2 linked regions of the Notamacropus eugenii genome follow. The protein of the gene in region 1 binds, or shares a complex with, the protein of each later gene. Links are inferred from orthologs where the notes say so. Each region holds a gene or a part of one and is shown on either strand. Other genes may lie near its edges.

What was found. Proteins that work in one complex are often made in the same cells at the same time.
Region 2: VAMP2 (region 1) and STX8 share a complex: the UniProt entries of both Homo sapiens proteins name them as parts of the SNARE core complex. The link is inferred for Notamacropus eugenii from reciprocal best matches to the Homo sapiens genes VAMP2 and STX8.

What each region holds. Positions count from the first base shown.
Region 1 is NC_092873.1:77,727,410-77,735,341, forward strand, and holds the start of VAMP2 (vesicle-associated membrane protein 2), read left to right. Parts: upstream 1-4,928; 5' UTR 4,929-4,943; coding exon 4,944-5,105; intron 5,106-5,806; coding exon 5,807-5,965; intron 5,966-6,445; coding exon 6,446-6,497; intron 6,498-6,758; coding exon 6,759-6,775; 3' UTR 6,776-7,932. UniProt on the Homo sapiens protein: Involved in the targeting and/or fusion of transport vesicles to their target membrane. Major SNARE protein of synaptic vesicles which mediates fusion of synaptic vesicles to release neurotransmitters.
Region 2 is NC_092873.1:76,438,466-76,445,858, forward strand, and holds the start of STX8 (syntaxin-8), read right to left. Parts: upstream 3,004-7,393; 5' UTR 2,869-3,003; coding exon 2,852-2,868; intron 1-2,851. Other genes in the region: CFAP52 (cilia- and flagella-associated protein 52), read left to right, coding at 6,286-6,358. UniProt on the Homo sapiens protein: Vesicle trafficking protein that functions in the early secretory pathway, possibly by mediating retrograde transport from cis-Golgi membranes to the ER.

The DNA of each region.
Region 1 (7,932 bases):
ATTCATCTTTACCACTATATCAGCCCTGAGACTACAGTATTATTCATGTTATCAACTGTTGACATTAACTTATTAACTTATATAGTGTTTTAAGGGCCTTGTTTATGCCTTCACAACAGTATAACGCATAGCCCTATACCATGCAATTAGGAGTAACAAGTGCTTCTTGGTGATGACACAACACAGAAGAAACTGAAGCCTAAGTCACGTATCTACCATATCAAATTGTGGTAGTCGGAAAACTGAATTTTAATCCTGGGCAACAATGTTGGTCTTATGCAGACAGCTAGGTAGCACAGCAGATAGAGTATTAGATTTGGAGTTAGGAAGTTGAGTTTGAATCCTGACAATGGCACACAATAGCTATGTGACATTGTTCAAGTCACTTGACATCTCATCATCCTGGTTTCCTCATCTGTAAAATGTGATTAATAATAGTACCTACCTCTCAGGTTTGTTGTGAGAATCAGATTAGCTAATACATGTAAGTGCTAACTATCGGGCAGGTAGGTGGCACAGTGGATGAGAAACTAAGGCCAAGAGAAGTTCCAGTTGGGCAATGCAGCATCTTCCCTCCTTCCTTCCTTCCTTCTTCCTCCTCTCCTGAGTCTCCTTCCCCTCCCCTCCAAGTGAATGTAAATAGTAATTGTTTCTGTTTTGGCCAGAAACCCTGAGCATCTTCCCCTCCCAGACTGATTTTTTTTTTTTACTAGGTTAAAGGAACCATTCTCTGCGTTATTTCTTTCCTAGCCTTAATCACTGAATGGGTGTTGCCTCAGTCAAACTGAGACCTATTAAAAACCTTGCTTAAAAAGGTCAAGGTTTGGGGCAGCTAGGTGGCACACTGAATAGAGCACTGGCCCTGGAGTCCGGAAGACCTGAGTTCAAATGTGATCTCAGACACTTGATACTTAATAGACCTTGGGCAAGTCACTTAACCCCAATTGCCTTGCCTACCCCCATCTAAAAAAGCAACAACAACAACAAAAAAAAAGGCCAAGATTTCCCAGTTCATTCAGGGCCATCTCCAGTTATGATCTTATCTTGTCACTGGACCTAGATGGCTGCAGAGGAGAAGGTAAGGCTAGTGATTATGCATATCCTTCTCTCACTTAAATCCAATTCACTTGCATGTCATGGCATCACCTCCCTAATGTCATGGTCCTCTTCGAGAATGAAGAACAAACAATAACAATGACAAGTATGAAATGTCCAATATTCAAGTGGTGATGTGGGATTGCCTCTCAGGGGAGAAACTGGAAATAGATATACAGATCTGTGAGTCATTGACATAAAGATAAATAAACTCACAGAAACTGATGACATCTCTGGGAGAGAATGTAAAGAAAGGACTAGGACACTTGGGAATAACCCATGGTTAGGGGACATCGATGATACTGTGGATAGAGCAGCAGGCTTGGAGTCAGGAAGACCTGAGTTCAAATCTGACCTCAGACACTTACTGTGTGATGCTGGGCAAGTCACTTAACTTCTGCTTGCCTCAGTTTCCTCAACTGGAAAGTGGGGATCTCGTTGTAAGGATCACATGAGATAATTGTGAAGTGCTTAGCACAGTGTCTGGCACGTAGTGAGTTCTAAATAAATGTTAGCTATTATTACTTTTATTATGATATGATGAATCAATAAAAGAGACTGAGCAGGATTAATTAGACTAGGGGTCTCAGACCCATCCTCTCCAAGCAGTAAATGGATAGATTAAAGCTGCCTGTGAACTTGTTTTTAAAAATTGTTTTGGTAAGTATTGAGTTGAATTGAATTGAATTATATTGAAATAGGATTGATTTCCTTTGTAATCTATGTATTTTGGTTTGTAAGCCTAAAAACATTAGTCTAAGAAGGGATGTATAGGCTTTATTAACTGCCAAATGGGTCCACAACACAAAAAAGGTAAAATACCCCTGGTTAAAGAGGAAGAGAATAGGGAGAGAATAGCGTCATAAAAACCAAGAGAAGAGGGAGAGAGTGATCCGCAATATCAAATGGAGCAGATTAATTAAGAAGGTTTGAGGACTGAAAAAAGACTGTCATATTTGACAATTAAGATAGCACTGTTAACTTGTAAAGAATGGTTCCAGTCCAGTAATGAAGTTGGAAGCCAGAATGTTAAGGGTCTAGAAGTGAGTAAACAGAAGAAATAAAGATTTCGAGTGGAGTCAGATTTTTCAATGAGTTTGCTGAGTAAAGGCGGGAAGATAAAGGACTGAGGGGATGGTAGAGTCTAGTGAAGATTTAAGGATGGGAGAGACTAGTAGGTTTGAAGGTAATAGGTGCCTCCCTTAGCACCCAGCAAGTAGAGACATTGAGCTTTGATTGTGAGTTCAGCCCTGTTTTGATACTTTGACCAGTAAGAAATTCAAACCCATACATTTCTTAAACTTTCCCCTTTTCCATTCTCTGCCTTCCCTTTTCTCATCTAAATTTCTTTTGGCTTCTATATACCAAGAGGTCTAGGTCTATGAATCAGAAACACTAGATCTGAATCCTGAAGATGCCAGTTACTAGAGGGGTAACCTCAGATAAGTCACTTTACTCTGGGTCTGTTTCCTCATCTGTAAAATGAATGAATTTCTGTAGTCACTCACTCTGCAGTGATCTCTGAAATCCCTTTCAGGTGTAAATCCTCTTGGTGCCAATGCAGTCACAGTGAGAAGGAGTGGGGATCAGCATCACAGGGATGCTGAAGTCAGACTTAGGGACAAATTGAACTTTCTTTTTCCTTCTGTACTCCCTTGAAGGCAACCTACCTCTTTCTGCAAGAGTGGGTTGGTCTTTTTGTTTTGGATCTGGAAGATGGGGGGTTTGGAGTGTTGGAGTTAAGTCATTTAGGACAATACAGTTGAAGGCTAGGGTTTTAAAGAATGGGCTATGAGTAGCTGGGGTCCATTGTGTTAAGGTATCCAGGATGGAGCATGAAAAAGGTCAGAGATTGGAGTGGTCTAATTTGGGAAACTGCATTGTCAGATGGGGTTATGATCTGCAATGTTTATATATTGGGATTGGGATGTTGAAGTTAGGGTGTATAGTGTTAAATGTCAGAGGTAGGAGCTGGGGAGTTCAACTGTCTGAAGTTGGAGTCTTGTCATTCTAGGGCAGTTGGAATGTTAAGGTTCCAGTGTTAAGATCAGGGTTTAAAGTATTGTCTATTAGCCACTGGAGTGGAATTCAAGTGTGTCATGTCAGAGTTGAACTTTGTGTATGGGAAGTTTAAAGTGATTAAATATTGAATTGTTGGAGGCTCTAGAGTTGGGGTTTGAAATGTTGGTCCTGAGGTGCCATACCCTGAGGTACTGGAAGACTGAAGTGTTATGTTTGGGGAAAAGTTGGATTGGGATGTTGCAGGTTTGAGGTTAGTGTTAAGGTTTGGCATGTTGGATGTTGTGGTGAAGTTTGGAGGTGCAGGGATGTCAAGAGTTTTTCTTTGGAACTTCTGCAGTATTGGAGTATCAGGAGTCTGAAGGAGTATTAAAGGCTGGGGGGGGGCGGTCTGAGTTTTGGCATTAGAAATTCAAAGATGAGGTTTAGGAACTTGGGTACTTTGGGTTAAAGATGTTTGGGACTTGAGAAAATTGGAGGGGTTGAATTGTTGGGATGCTGCTTAGTTTAGGGGTTGGGGTGTTGGTGTGCAGTATGGTTGTTGTGTAGATTTGGGGACTGGAGTGTTGGGAATCTGGGGGTAGGGGGGTGGAACTGAAGAATTTGATGGGTTGGGGTTGTAGATCTGGGGTCCGGGAAGTTTGGGGGTTGGAGACAGGTGTCTAGGGACAGCCTGAACATCTTGGGAGAGAGGAATTTCAGAGGGTCCTGAGCTCCTTCCAGGACAAGATCTTAGGGAGGGGGTGGGGAGGAAAGGAGCAGGGCATCCAACATGGCTGCACCTCAACCCCCTTCTCCCAGCTCCCCCCCTCCCCTCCCCACTCCCCCGCCCGGCCTGGCCCACGGGTGCCCGGATGTGGGTGACGCGCGGCCGCCATCTTCCCGTCCCCAGGCTCGGCAGCACCATTCGGAGCCAGTGCGAGCCGGAGCCGCCGCCGCCGCTGTCCCCGCCCGCCCGCGCGCCCGCCCGCCCCCGCCATGTGAGTCTGCACCGCCCGGCGCCTGGCGCCGTCCCCGGGGCTACGGTGGGCCCCCATGCACTGCCCGGAGCCGTCCTCCCGCTGTCACTGCGTCCTCCTCCTCCTCCTCCCTTCTCCCTGCAGCCGCCCTCCTGGCCGTTCCCACCCTGGTTGCCCGGGCGCCCTCTGGGAACTGGGCCCGGTCGTGCCGCAGGGAGGTGCGAGCCCTGGGCCGCAGCCTCCGGCCCCGCCGCCGCCCCGTCCCGCCCGTCCCTGCATTGTCCGTTCTGTCCCCCCTGGCTCGGCAGGCCGCGGGGGCGTCGCTTTTGCTTTTAGAGGAGGGGCTGGGCTGGGGCTGCCCGGGCCTCCGGAGAGTGGGGGACGAGGAGCTAAAAATACCCGCGCCCCAGGGGTGCCCGGGGGCTGCAGGGCCGCGGTGCGGTGGGAGCGGAGACCGAGATGGGGCGCCCCGAGCCCAGCCAACCCGACCCACCCCTGGAGATTGTCTGTCACTAGCCCTGGCACGGTGGACCCCGGCGTCTTTGCCTCACATGCCTGCCCCGGCCGCCCCGCAAAGCCTCACTGGTCTTGGCAGCCTCCACCAACCTACCCCCCAACCCCCCGACCCGAGGATTAGGGGCCTGTCCCCAGTCCTCAGGCTGCCAGGGGCCCTGAGAGGAGGAGGTGAGGAGTCTCACTACCACGGTGCTCGAGCCCAATCCCTCGTTCTTCAGGGGGAAACTGGGGGCCCGGAGAGGAGACTCAGACTCAGAATGAGTCTGGAAGGGCTTGCCTGAGGTCTTCTCTTTGGGGGGAGAGCTGGGGACCCGGGAGAGGGGAGGCTTGGCAGAGTCTGCTGTGAAGGGCTGGATGTCCTTGTGTCAAGACACTTTTGCCACTTACACCCTCAGGTCTGCTCCTGCTACTGCCATGCCCCCTGCTGCCCCAGCAGGAGAAGGGGGCCCCCCTGCTGCCCCCCCAAACCTCACTAGCAACAGGAGGCTGCAGCAAACCCAGGCCCAGGTGGATGAGGTGAGCGGAGAAATGAAAGGAAGGGAAGGGGGTAAGGACGGTTGGCCTCGTGATCAGTACCATGGACAGCTCACTGGTGTGTGCCTCGAGATAGTACATTGGGGTGGGAGAGAGGTTAGGGTAAGAGGCACAAATGTTTCGTGTCAGCAGTGTTGGACAGCGACCTGTGTCACTGTTGTCATGCCCCTGGCCACCTGGTAAGTTAGTTGGCGTTGTTCCTTTGCTTTACCCTTTGAGGTCTGAGCCTGTTGTGTCGGGCTGTTGTACATTAGGCATGTTGGAGGTTTGTAGGTGGTGGGTAAGTCTCATTGTTTGTTTTATGCCTTTCTGTGTAAAGGGGAGGTTTCTGACCTACACGCAGTGTGTCAGTGAGTTCTGCTAGTATGTCTAAGGCATGTACCTGGATTATCTGCTGGCATGCCCTTGCTTTGTGTCCCTAGTGGGTCCTGTGTATGCATTATGCCTTAAGCTTGTGTCCCTGGAAGTACTTACTCTTGTGTGTCTGACAGCTCCTGTACATTAGGTTAGTTAGTCCAAGGTTTGTGTCCCAGTATATGTCAGATGTATGTCCTTGGGGGGGTTGTCCTATTTGTGTGATGCTTGAAGCTTTTTCCTGGCATAGTTTGTGACATATCTTTGGTATGTTGCTTATGTGAATCTGTGGCATAAACATGTCATCACTTTCGCCTTCCATTGTCTAGGTGGTGGATATCATGCGGGTGAATGTGGACAAGGTCCTAGAGCGGGACCAGAAGTTATCAGAACTAGATGACCGTGCAGATGCCCTCCAGGCTGGGGCTTCCCAGTTTGAGACAAGTGCTGCTAAGCTCAAGCGTAAATACTGGTGGAAAAACCTCAAAGTAAGGAGGCTGGAAGAGGGCATAAGGGAGGTTCTAGAAGGTGTGTTAGCTAGGAGAGGAGACTGAAGGAATGGGGAAAAGTGTTCTGTAGGCCTGATCAACCCTAAATCAAAACTGAGTGACCTTGGGTAAGTCACTTCTTTCTGGACTTCAGTTCTTCCTCTTTAAAATGAAGGGGCTATCTTAGGTGGTCCCTAAGGTTCCCTTCCCCCACCCCATATACTGTAGTTTTTCAGGAAATGGCTTGGAGGGTGGGAAGTAGGCAGAGCTTGATACTCTGACCTTTTCCCCTACTAACCTGATTATCACCCCCCCATCCCTCTTCTTTCTTTCCTGTTCTCCTTCCTCTCCCTTTCATCTCTCTTTTCTCTTCCTTTCCCCTTTTCTTCTTTTCCTCATCCTCTCTCTACCTTCTCATCTCACCTTTTTTTCTCCCTTCCCTTCCCTCTTTCCTTCCTTCTTTCCACCCCACCCTCCCAGATGATGATTATCCTTGGAGTGATATGCGCCATCATCCTCATCCTCATCATTGGTGAGTGGGGAATTGAGGGAGGAGGTTCAGATACTATGGCCTAGGAGGAAAAAGAAACAGTTCCTTTCCATCTGCCCCTTGTAGGATCATTGGGTCCCACCAGCATCCTCAGAACTTACCCTCCTAACTAAGGCTGATGAAATTCCATCTGAGGGGGGGAGGCTGGGTAGAACTGAGGAGGGCTAAATGTAGGTGAGAGTTCCTCCAACTGGGGAGATATGGACCAAATCTGACCCTAACACTCTTTGGGTCTCTCCACAGTTTATTTCAGCACCTAAGCCCACAGCAGGAGCTGCCCCTGCCCGGGAGAGGGCCCCCTTCCCTTCATGGCTCTCCCTCTCTCAGCCATATCTTCCAGCCCCTTCTCCTGTCCCACCTCCGGTGTGTCTGCGTGTGTATCCCCCCTTGTAAATAGCCAGCTGTTATTTATACATATATAATATTATATATATTTGGTCTGTTTGTAGTTTTATTACTAGAAGATTTTTTCTGGTTGTTCTTAACTTCTCTCCTCTGCCCATCATCCTTTTTTTTCCCCTAACTCCTCATTCCTCTCCTTTTTTTTTGACCCACAGTCCCCTCATGTGCATTTGCTATGCAACATTCTCTATTCTTCTCCTTCCATCTTCCTTTTTGCCTGGATTTAGCTATTCATCTCTCCCACCCATCTCTCTCCTCCCAGGAGCCTGGGGCACCCCCTTATTTATGGACTATCCAATCATTATGGACTGTGACAAAGATTCCCTTAGCCACCTTTCCCTCCCCTATGTCTCCTGGGAGCTCTGAGCACTTAAATTAGCATGTCATTTACATAACCACACCCTTTTTGGTTTGCTTTTCAGTCATTCCTGCCTCCTGACTTGTATTGGGCCTCCTCACCTATTACTAAACACACCTATGGGTCCTTCAATTTTACCCTTATTTGCACGACATTTACATAAGTGAGGGGTCCTTTGCTTTTAACACATAGGGGCCTGTGGCCTCCCCCCCATTCCATTTTTTTCACCATCCATTTCCTTCTAACTCTTGTCTGTCATCATCCTTTCCCAATTCCTCCTTCCCATAAATGCCTCCCCAACTCTCAACCCCACAGCTGGTATGTAAGTGTCTTAAAGTTAAATGTTTTGATGGACCAATAATTCTGCCACTTGGGGGTCTCCACATTCCTACTCCCCATATTTGGTAGGGGGGCTCACTGACATTCTCAAAAGGGTCCCCCTCACCTGCCCCTCCCACCCCAGCTGGGATGAATTGGGGAACCCTGCTACATTCCGATTCTTATCTAGGAGGGGAGGCCACCAGCCAACAGGGGCTGTCACTGCCGTGGGGAGTCTGGTAAGGGGGCTGAGGAACACCTCACAAGTCCTCCATGGACCTCCTCCCCTCTGAGCCACCTCCTTGTGGGGAACAGAGCTGATAGCCCACCCTGGGGTTC
Region 2 (7,393 bases), about 1.3 Mb from region 1:
CCAGACTTGGATCAATCAAATCAACATTTATTAAGTGCCTACTATGTGCCAGGAACTGTGCTGTAACAGTAAAACACAATCTCTACTCACAAGGAGTTTACATTCTAATGGGAAAAGAAGTACATATATAAAAATATACATATGCAGCATAAATAAAAGTGAATACAAAATATATACAAAGTAGTTAAATACAAGGTTGTTTGGGAGGAAAGATATTAATATTCGAGAAGATCAGGAAAGCCTTCATGTAGAAGAAACTGCATCTTAAAAGAGCACGACTTTGGAGCAGAGGTAAAAAAGGAAGTACAATTACACAGAGTTGGAATAAAAAAAAAACGAGTTCCACTTCTGACTCAAATGTTTACTAGCCATTTGAAGCCAGACACATCATTTAGCCTCTCAGCCTCAGTTTCCTCATCTGAAAAATGGAGACATTAACAGAACCTACCTCCATAGGGTGACTGCGAGGATCAAATGAAATAATAAATAAGGTGTTTTGTAAATCTTAGAGTGCTATTTAAATATTAATTATTACTATTATGTAGTTTGAGAACTATGATTCCTAGCACTTTCTATCCCCTTTCTGTCACTGAACAATCTAAACTAGGGCAACGCAAGACTGGGGGTCATCATGTACCTGTCCATTTCACAGGAGAGCACAGAAAAAAAAAATTTTCACTACCTGTTAGCCAGTCTTTTTGTAATCTCTCCATAGATAGGCTGGTCCTCAAATAATAGACACTGCTGTACAGTGTCTTAATTACCCTGAACTTAAACTAAATTTTTCTAGAGCGCCCTATTGTGAACTATTTGTTTTCATCATTCCCTACCTTATAGTATACTTACTTCTCTGTATATACATCCTAATACACTCCCTATTCCTCCCTGCCCCAAATTCCTCATGTAAGCTCTTCAACATGTGACTATAGTTGTTTTTAAAATCTACATCTCCAGTGTCTTGGCTACATGGAGTTGGTATGTCTGTTAAATTACATTTATCCACATTTATTTCCTTTCTCCCTACATTATACGTTTCTTAAGATCAGGGACCCAGTCTTATTTATCTTTCCATCTAGCCTTACAAATATTTAAAGACACTTAAAAACCTCATTGCAAATTTGTTCTCCATGCATCTACCTTCCTTTCCTATGGGATATCACTCCTTCCTTACCTCACTTTGGATTAGTCCTATCACCTTGCACAAAATAGGTGCTTAATAAATGTTTAATAGGTGTTTATTCAATGAATGAATGAATGAGTACTTAAAAATGACCTCCCACCTACCCCCATCTCCTTTGCAGTTTGCTAGGTTAGTGGAAAGAAATGTTCAAACTAGCCCTAGCCTCTTTTCCTTCCATTCACAGGTAAGCTCTCACCTTTCCCCTATAGGTTTGCAAAAAGTAGACTCTTTAAGTCCCTGGAACAGAAATGGGAAACCTGACCATCTTCATTCTCAGCCTTCTAAGTCTAGGATTCATTAAGAACGTCAGCTGTTCTAGGCCTATGAGAATGTTAACCTAGCTGGTTTTTAATAAGTGTCTAATTCAGTTTCAAACTCCAGTTTTGCGTACCTATTACATGTCCTTTTTACTTTTTACTTTTTAGGGGACTTCCAGGGGAAGAAGTGGTAAAATATGAAGCAATTTGGGTTTTGCCTATATATGCATTTGCCTTTGTATCCTGTATTTTACCTATTTGTGACCATGTTACTGCCTCAGTAGATGCCTTCTCACTTTTACATCTGCAGAGACTGTTCCACACACCTGGAAGACCAAACAGTCCCATCTCTGACTCCCTGGCTTCCTTCAAGTCTCAGATCAAGAACTACCTTCTGTAGGAGGCCTTTCCTGGTCCTACAGCTAGAGCCTTCCCCTCTAAGATTACTGTGTATTGGCTTTGCAGACTGAGACAGAAGACCTTTGTTCACACGCCATGCCTACTACTGGCTATCTGTGTGCCCTGGGGCAAGTCACTTCATTTCCCTGGACCAGTTCCCTCATCTATAAAATGAGGACTAGACCTTCTAGTTCTAAACCCACGATGGTGACTTGCACATTTTACCTGCACCTATACAGGCACAGGTGGGGTCCTTGAGAGCAAGGGCTGTTTTCATTTTGGTCTCTGTGTCACTGTAGCACAGTGCCCACAGCACAGCGCCTGGCACGGAGCAGGACTGTTCCATGCCAGGGTGCTATCTGACTGATCTGTCCATTAAGGTCCCTAACTCAGCGTGCGGGTGAATAAAATCGGATTACCAAGAGAGCAGAGGTGAAGGGGTGCCCGGGGCAGTTCTCATCCGTGGTCCCTGAACCAGCAAAAGAGCATGCCCCAAACCCCAAAAGCTTGAATCCAGAGCTACCTAGTCTCAGTAGATAGAGCCCGGCGCCGGGAGGTCCCGAAGACCCGAGTTCAAATCCGCTTTCAGGCACTTTTAGCTCCGGTCAGGTCACTGAGCCTCCGTATTAATAATAATATTCACCCTCCCGACCCCCACCTCACCCCCAACGTGGCTGAGAGGAGCAAATGAGACCCTTGTAAAGAGCTTAGCACAGAGCCGGGCACACAGCAAGCGCTACATATGTGCACCACTAAGACTACTGCTACTATTCCACCTCGGCGTGGCCGACCGGCAGAGCTGTAGGAAAACAACACGATGAAATCCAATTCGAGTCTCCCACAGGCGGTTCGGTTCCGGCGGTCTAAGCTGTGCCCTCACAGCGCCGGCTCCCCGTTCCTCCTCCCTGGGCCTCTCCCGGCGCCGGCCTGGCCGCCACCCCCCACCTCCGCCCCACCCCTCCCAACATGCCCCCTCCCAGGGAGCCTGATCTGGGACCCTCAGCCCGGGCCTCACCAGGGGTCCGGCGCCATGACGCTGCCTCTGCCGCTTCCCGCAAAACTTCCGGGTTGCTGCCTCCAACTACGGCAGACCAAGTGGCTCAGTCGCCTACAGGCGAAGCCAGCGCTAAGGAGGAAGCGAGAGTGTGTTCTCCCAGAGGCGCCACAAGGGGGCGGGACGGAGCCGGAAGTGGGGAGGGGAACCGGAAGGGCCTGGGAGAGAGAAGTCCTTACCAGGAAAGGGCCTAAGAAATCATGACTCCTCCTTTTAGAGATGAGAAAACTGACGCCCAGAAAGCGGAAGTGCTCTGTCCGGCTTCTCGGTTTTAAAGTGGTGGAGCTGGGATTCTAAACGTGAGATCCATGGCCCTTTGTGCTACACCAGCAGAAAGGGAATTTTAAAAAAGCAATGGAAAGGTAATTCAGGAAACCGGCCGATAGGCGGCGCAGTGCCTAGAGTGCTGGGTCGGGAGCCAGGAAGACCTGAGTTCAAATTCGCCCTCAGACATAAGGTAGCTGTGTGCCCCTGGGCAAGTCACTGAACTCCAGTTACCTCCTCTATAAAAAGGGGGCAAATAATAACATCTACCTCCCTGGGTTATTGTGAGGATCGAATGAGATTATAATTGTAAAGTACTTATAACACAGTGCCTGGGGGATAGTAGGTAGGTGCTATATAAATGTTAGATATTATTTTTTATTTATCCATTTAAGTTTAATCTTCATTATTAACATTTTTCTCCATCTTAACATCAACAAAACAATAAACCAAGCCCTGATTTGTGAGGTTTCCAAGTTGTAAATATTCATGTTAAAAATGTGGGTATGACCAAGTGCTTCAGCTAATCTAAACAGAATACCCAAGCTTTGTTGGTGATTGGTGAACTAAGGAGGAGACACGTTCTTACTTTTTATTAAACATGACATATTTGCACCTGATTAAACTTTTATCTGCCTCTTAGTGGGAGTGAGGCAATTGATCTGCCAACTTAATAACTCTCACCTTTACAGATGATTGATTACAGATACAAAAATTATAACATTTTTTCAGTTGATGAGTGCACTACATTTTCATTGTATATTTAGGATTTTTTGTGTTGTTCTAAAATTGTCATATATGTTTAATTCTATTTGACTAAAATATGGGCTAAAATGGCTTTTGATAGATTTGACTTATGTTAAACTTAAAAGTGTCTCATATACATAAAATTTAGAAACTAGTCATATTCACACGTTTATCAAGTGAAAACATAACTCCATCTTCTCGGTGTGAAAACTCCTACATATATTTTCAATAGGAAATTTTTTTCATTTAGCTGAAGCATTTGGTCAAATGCTCTGAGGCCTGAATAAAAATACTGGGCTGGACAGAATCAGAGATCTGAGTGCCTGGAGAAGAGATAGCTAACACCCTGAGAAGGAATGGTTTTGGTGGACAGAGCAAAGTCCTTAGTCTCAATCTAGATCTTCTGCCTCCACCGCCCTAGCTAGAGGCCCCTTGGCCAGAAGAACTTCTTGAACTTATTGTAAGGATTTAGAGAATTTGGACTTTTTCTTCAAATTAATCCTGCTTCCTCAAAGCTGAAAGAAAAGGAAAAAATGAAGGACTGGGTCTTTCTTTTTGTAAATCTACTCAGGTCTGACTTAGCAACACCAAAATCATCAGTCCTTCCATCTCTGTAAGCCCTTTATTCTTTCATGGCCAGCAACCAGCTTCTCCCATTTCCATATGGTCAGAAGGTCAGAAACCAGGTGCAAAATATATAAGCATGCTCTGTATAGCACACCAACATTTCTTATGCTGTAGATAAATTGTATAGCCAGCTTAGATGGCAACATGATAGGCCATAGGGAGCATACATTCCCATCAACACTCTAGTAAAGCTCTAAAAAGGAAATAGAACAATGATAAAGGAAAGCTAAGAGAAATGACTTTATAAACCACTGAGCAGAGGTAAACCAGAAGAGTCACAAGATAAAGCACAAAACCAGCCTGGAGCCACAAGACCACATCAACACCTAGGCAATGTAACACACAGGTTGCATAGTGCCCAGGCAGTCCACTCCATGGCAAAAGATAGGACCAGCCAAGTATCCAGGCAATACCATGCTGGATAGCCAGTGCCTGAACTCTATCCAGATATAGGATGAGATCAGCACCCAGGAAGCATCAAGCTCAGGCAGCCAGCCCTCTCTTACGATTCTATAGTAGAGAACAGAGCCAAACCAGTACCCAAGCTGATCAGGTCCCAGACAGCCCAATCCAGAGCCATATCAGATGGGGCAACGCAGTGCTCAGCAGCTCACACCTTAGCCACAGAGGGAGACAGAGCCATCCTAATGCTCAGGGCCAATGAACCATGACCCGTAGGAGGCCTGTTACCAATACGATTGGCCACGTTCAGTTAGGGCTTATAAGGGTTACAGCAAAAGATGGAGGCGGGACTCTGGGGTCAAGACTCTAGAAGGAGGAGACTGAGAAGGAAAAGTCAAAAGCTAAGTCAAGGTAGCAGAAGAATACCAGATTCCTACAGGGGATACCCACTCCATATAGGTCCAAACAACCGTACTAATGAAACAAGAAGATATCAGCCTCTTAGCCCTACTTCGAAAGTGGACATAGTAGCTCACTCTATTCTTTCCTCAACCTGCCCTTACATTTACAAACTGGGTTTTGTATCACATCTTCAAAAGGCAGCTGTATTCTCAGGCCAACTTTTCCTACATGTACAAAAATATTTATAGCAGCTCTTTTAGTGGTGGCAAACAACTGGAAGTTGAGGAGACACCCATCAATTGGAAAAAGGCTGGAACAAGTTGTGATATATGATTGTGACAGAATACTATTATGCAATAAGAAATGATTAACAGGATGCTTTCAGAAAAACCTGGAAAGGCATGAACTGATGCAAAGTGAAGTCAGCAGAACCAGAAGAACATTGTATACACTAACCGGAATATTGTACAACTGGGAATGACTTAGCAATGCAAAGATCCAAGATAACTCTGAAGAACCTATGATGAAAAATGCTATCTCTTCCCAGAGGAAGAACTGATGGAATCTGAATGCACATTTTTTTTACTTTCTTTATTTTTCTTGTGTTTTCGTCTGTGTTTTCTTCTACACAATGGCTAATATAGAAATATGTTTTCTAAACCTGCAAATGCATCTATTATCTTTATCAAATTGTGAGGAAAAGGAGGGATCGGAGAGAATTTGGAGCTCAAACTTGTAAAAAAAAAATGAAGGTTAAAATTTGTACTTGGGAAAAATTCGGAACTGGGACTGATTCCTCCCAGTCCCACGGACGAACGAGCCCTTTCCTAGGACCAGAGATGTGCAGGAGGCTTTGTACGCAAGCGCAGCTGCTGGTTGGTTGCCATCGCGACAGAGGGACGCGGAGTGCTGGGCAGTGAGTTTCAGCGAAGAAGGCGAGCGGTGCTGCGGCGATGGCGGATTCCACTACTCCGCCAGAATCCGAGGTGCTTGGACTGGAGCTAGAAGCAGTAATTGGCTTCAATGGTGAGGCACGAAGAGAGATGCTAATCCGGTTCTGTCGCTGGGCTGTTATGAAAGTCACTTCGCCCCAGGGACCCTCACTCTGTAATATGGATACTGGGTTTATCATTTCTAAGGACCCTTCCAGCCCTAACATCCTTTACTCCTAAGATTCGGTGAGCCCCGAGATGGCCTAGAAACCTGCGGTCCTAGGGGTGGAGTGGCAATTGGGGGATTTGAGGCAGGAAACAGTGTGCGGACTACCAACCTTTTGCCCTGGAGTCCAGCTCTCATTTACTGCTCTGAGGGGAGCGGACAGATAAAGAGGAGAGGAGAACTAGCTACAACGATGGTGGGTAGAGAGGGCGGAAATCATGAAGAATGATTGCCTAGGCTGATTGACTGGCTGACCACTGGCCCTCGTAATAGGTGAAGTTGTTCTAAAGCACCTTCTCCACTTTGGGAGTCCCTAATGTCAGCCTTCCACCTTTGTCCTTTCTGACCCAAAGCATTATACTTTTCCTCCAGTCACTTGAGATTGGACACTACTATGTATTTGACTCTATTTGCTTCCGAGTCAAAATCTACAGTGCTGTTAACCCATCTATCTTATCTGTTTTCTCTGCCTTCCGAAATACCGAGAAAAATGGTAACTAGATAATTTGGGGGCAAAAAATTTGATTTGGGGTGAGAATGGGTGGAGGGGAGTGAAGAAGAGTGGAAGGAGGGCAGGTAATTTGTATCATTCATCGTGGGGGTGATTTGTTGTCAGACTCAAAGGAAAAACTCCAATACGGAGGTTTTCAAACGAAGTGGTAATAATACCAGGCTTGTAATTTTTTTAGTTTCCTCAAGTGCTTTCCTCCGTGCAAATGTTTTGTTTTCCTTTTTGGTCCCGATATGTGTGCTGTACTGTGGACTGCTTCTGCTGCTCTATAATTTAATCTCCTAGAGTAATAATGAAAAAGATATTAACTAACACATAGTGCTTTAAGGTGTGCAAAGCTTGTTACAATGATGCCCAGGGTCACACAGCTAGTGGGGTCTGAGGCTTCATTA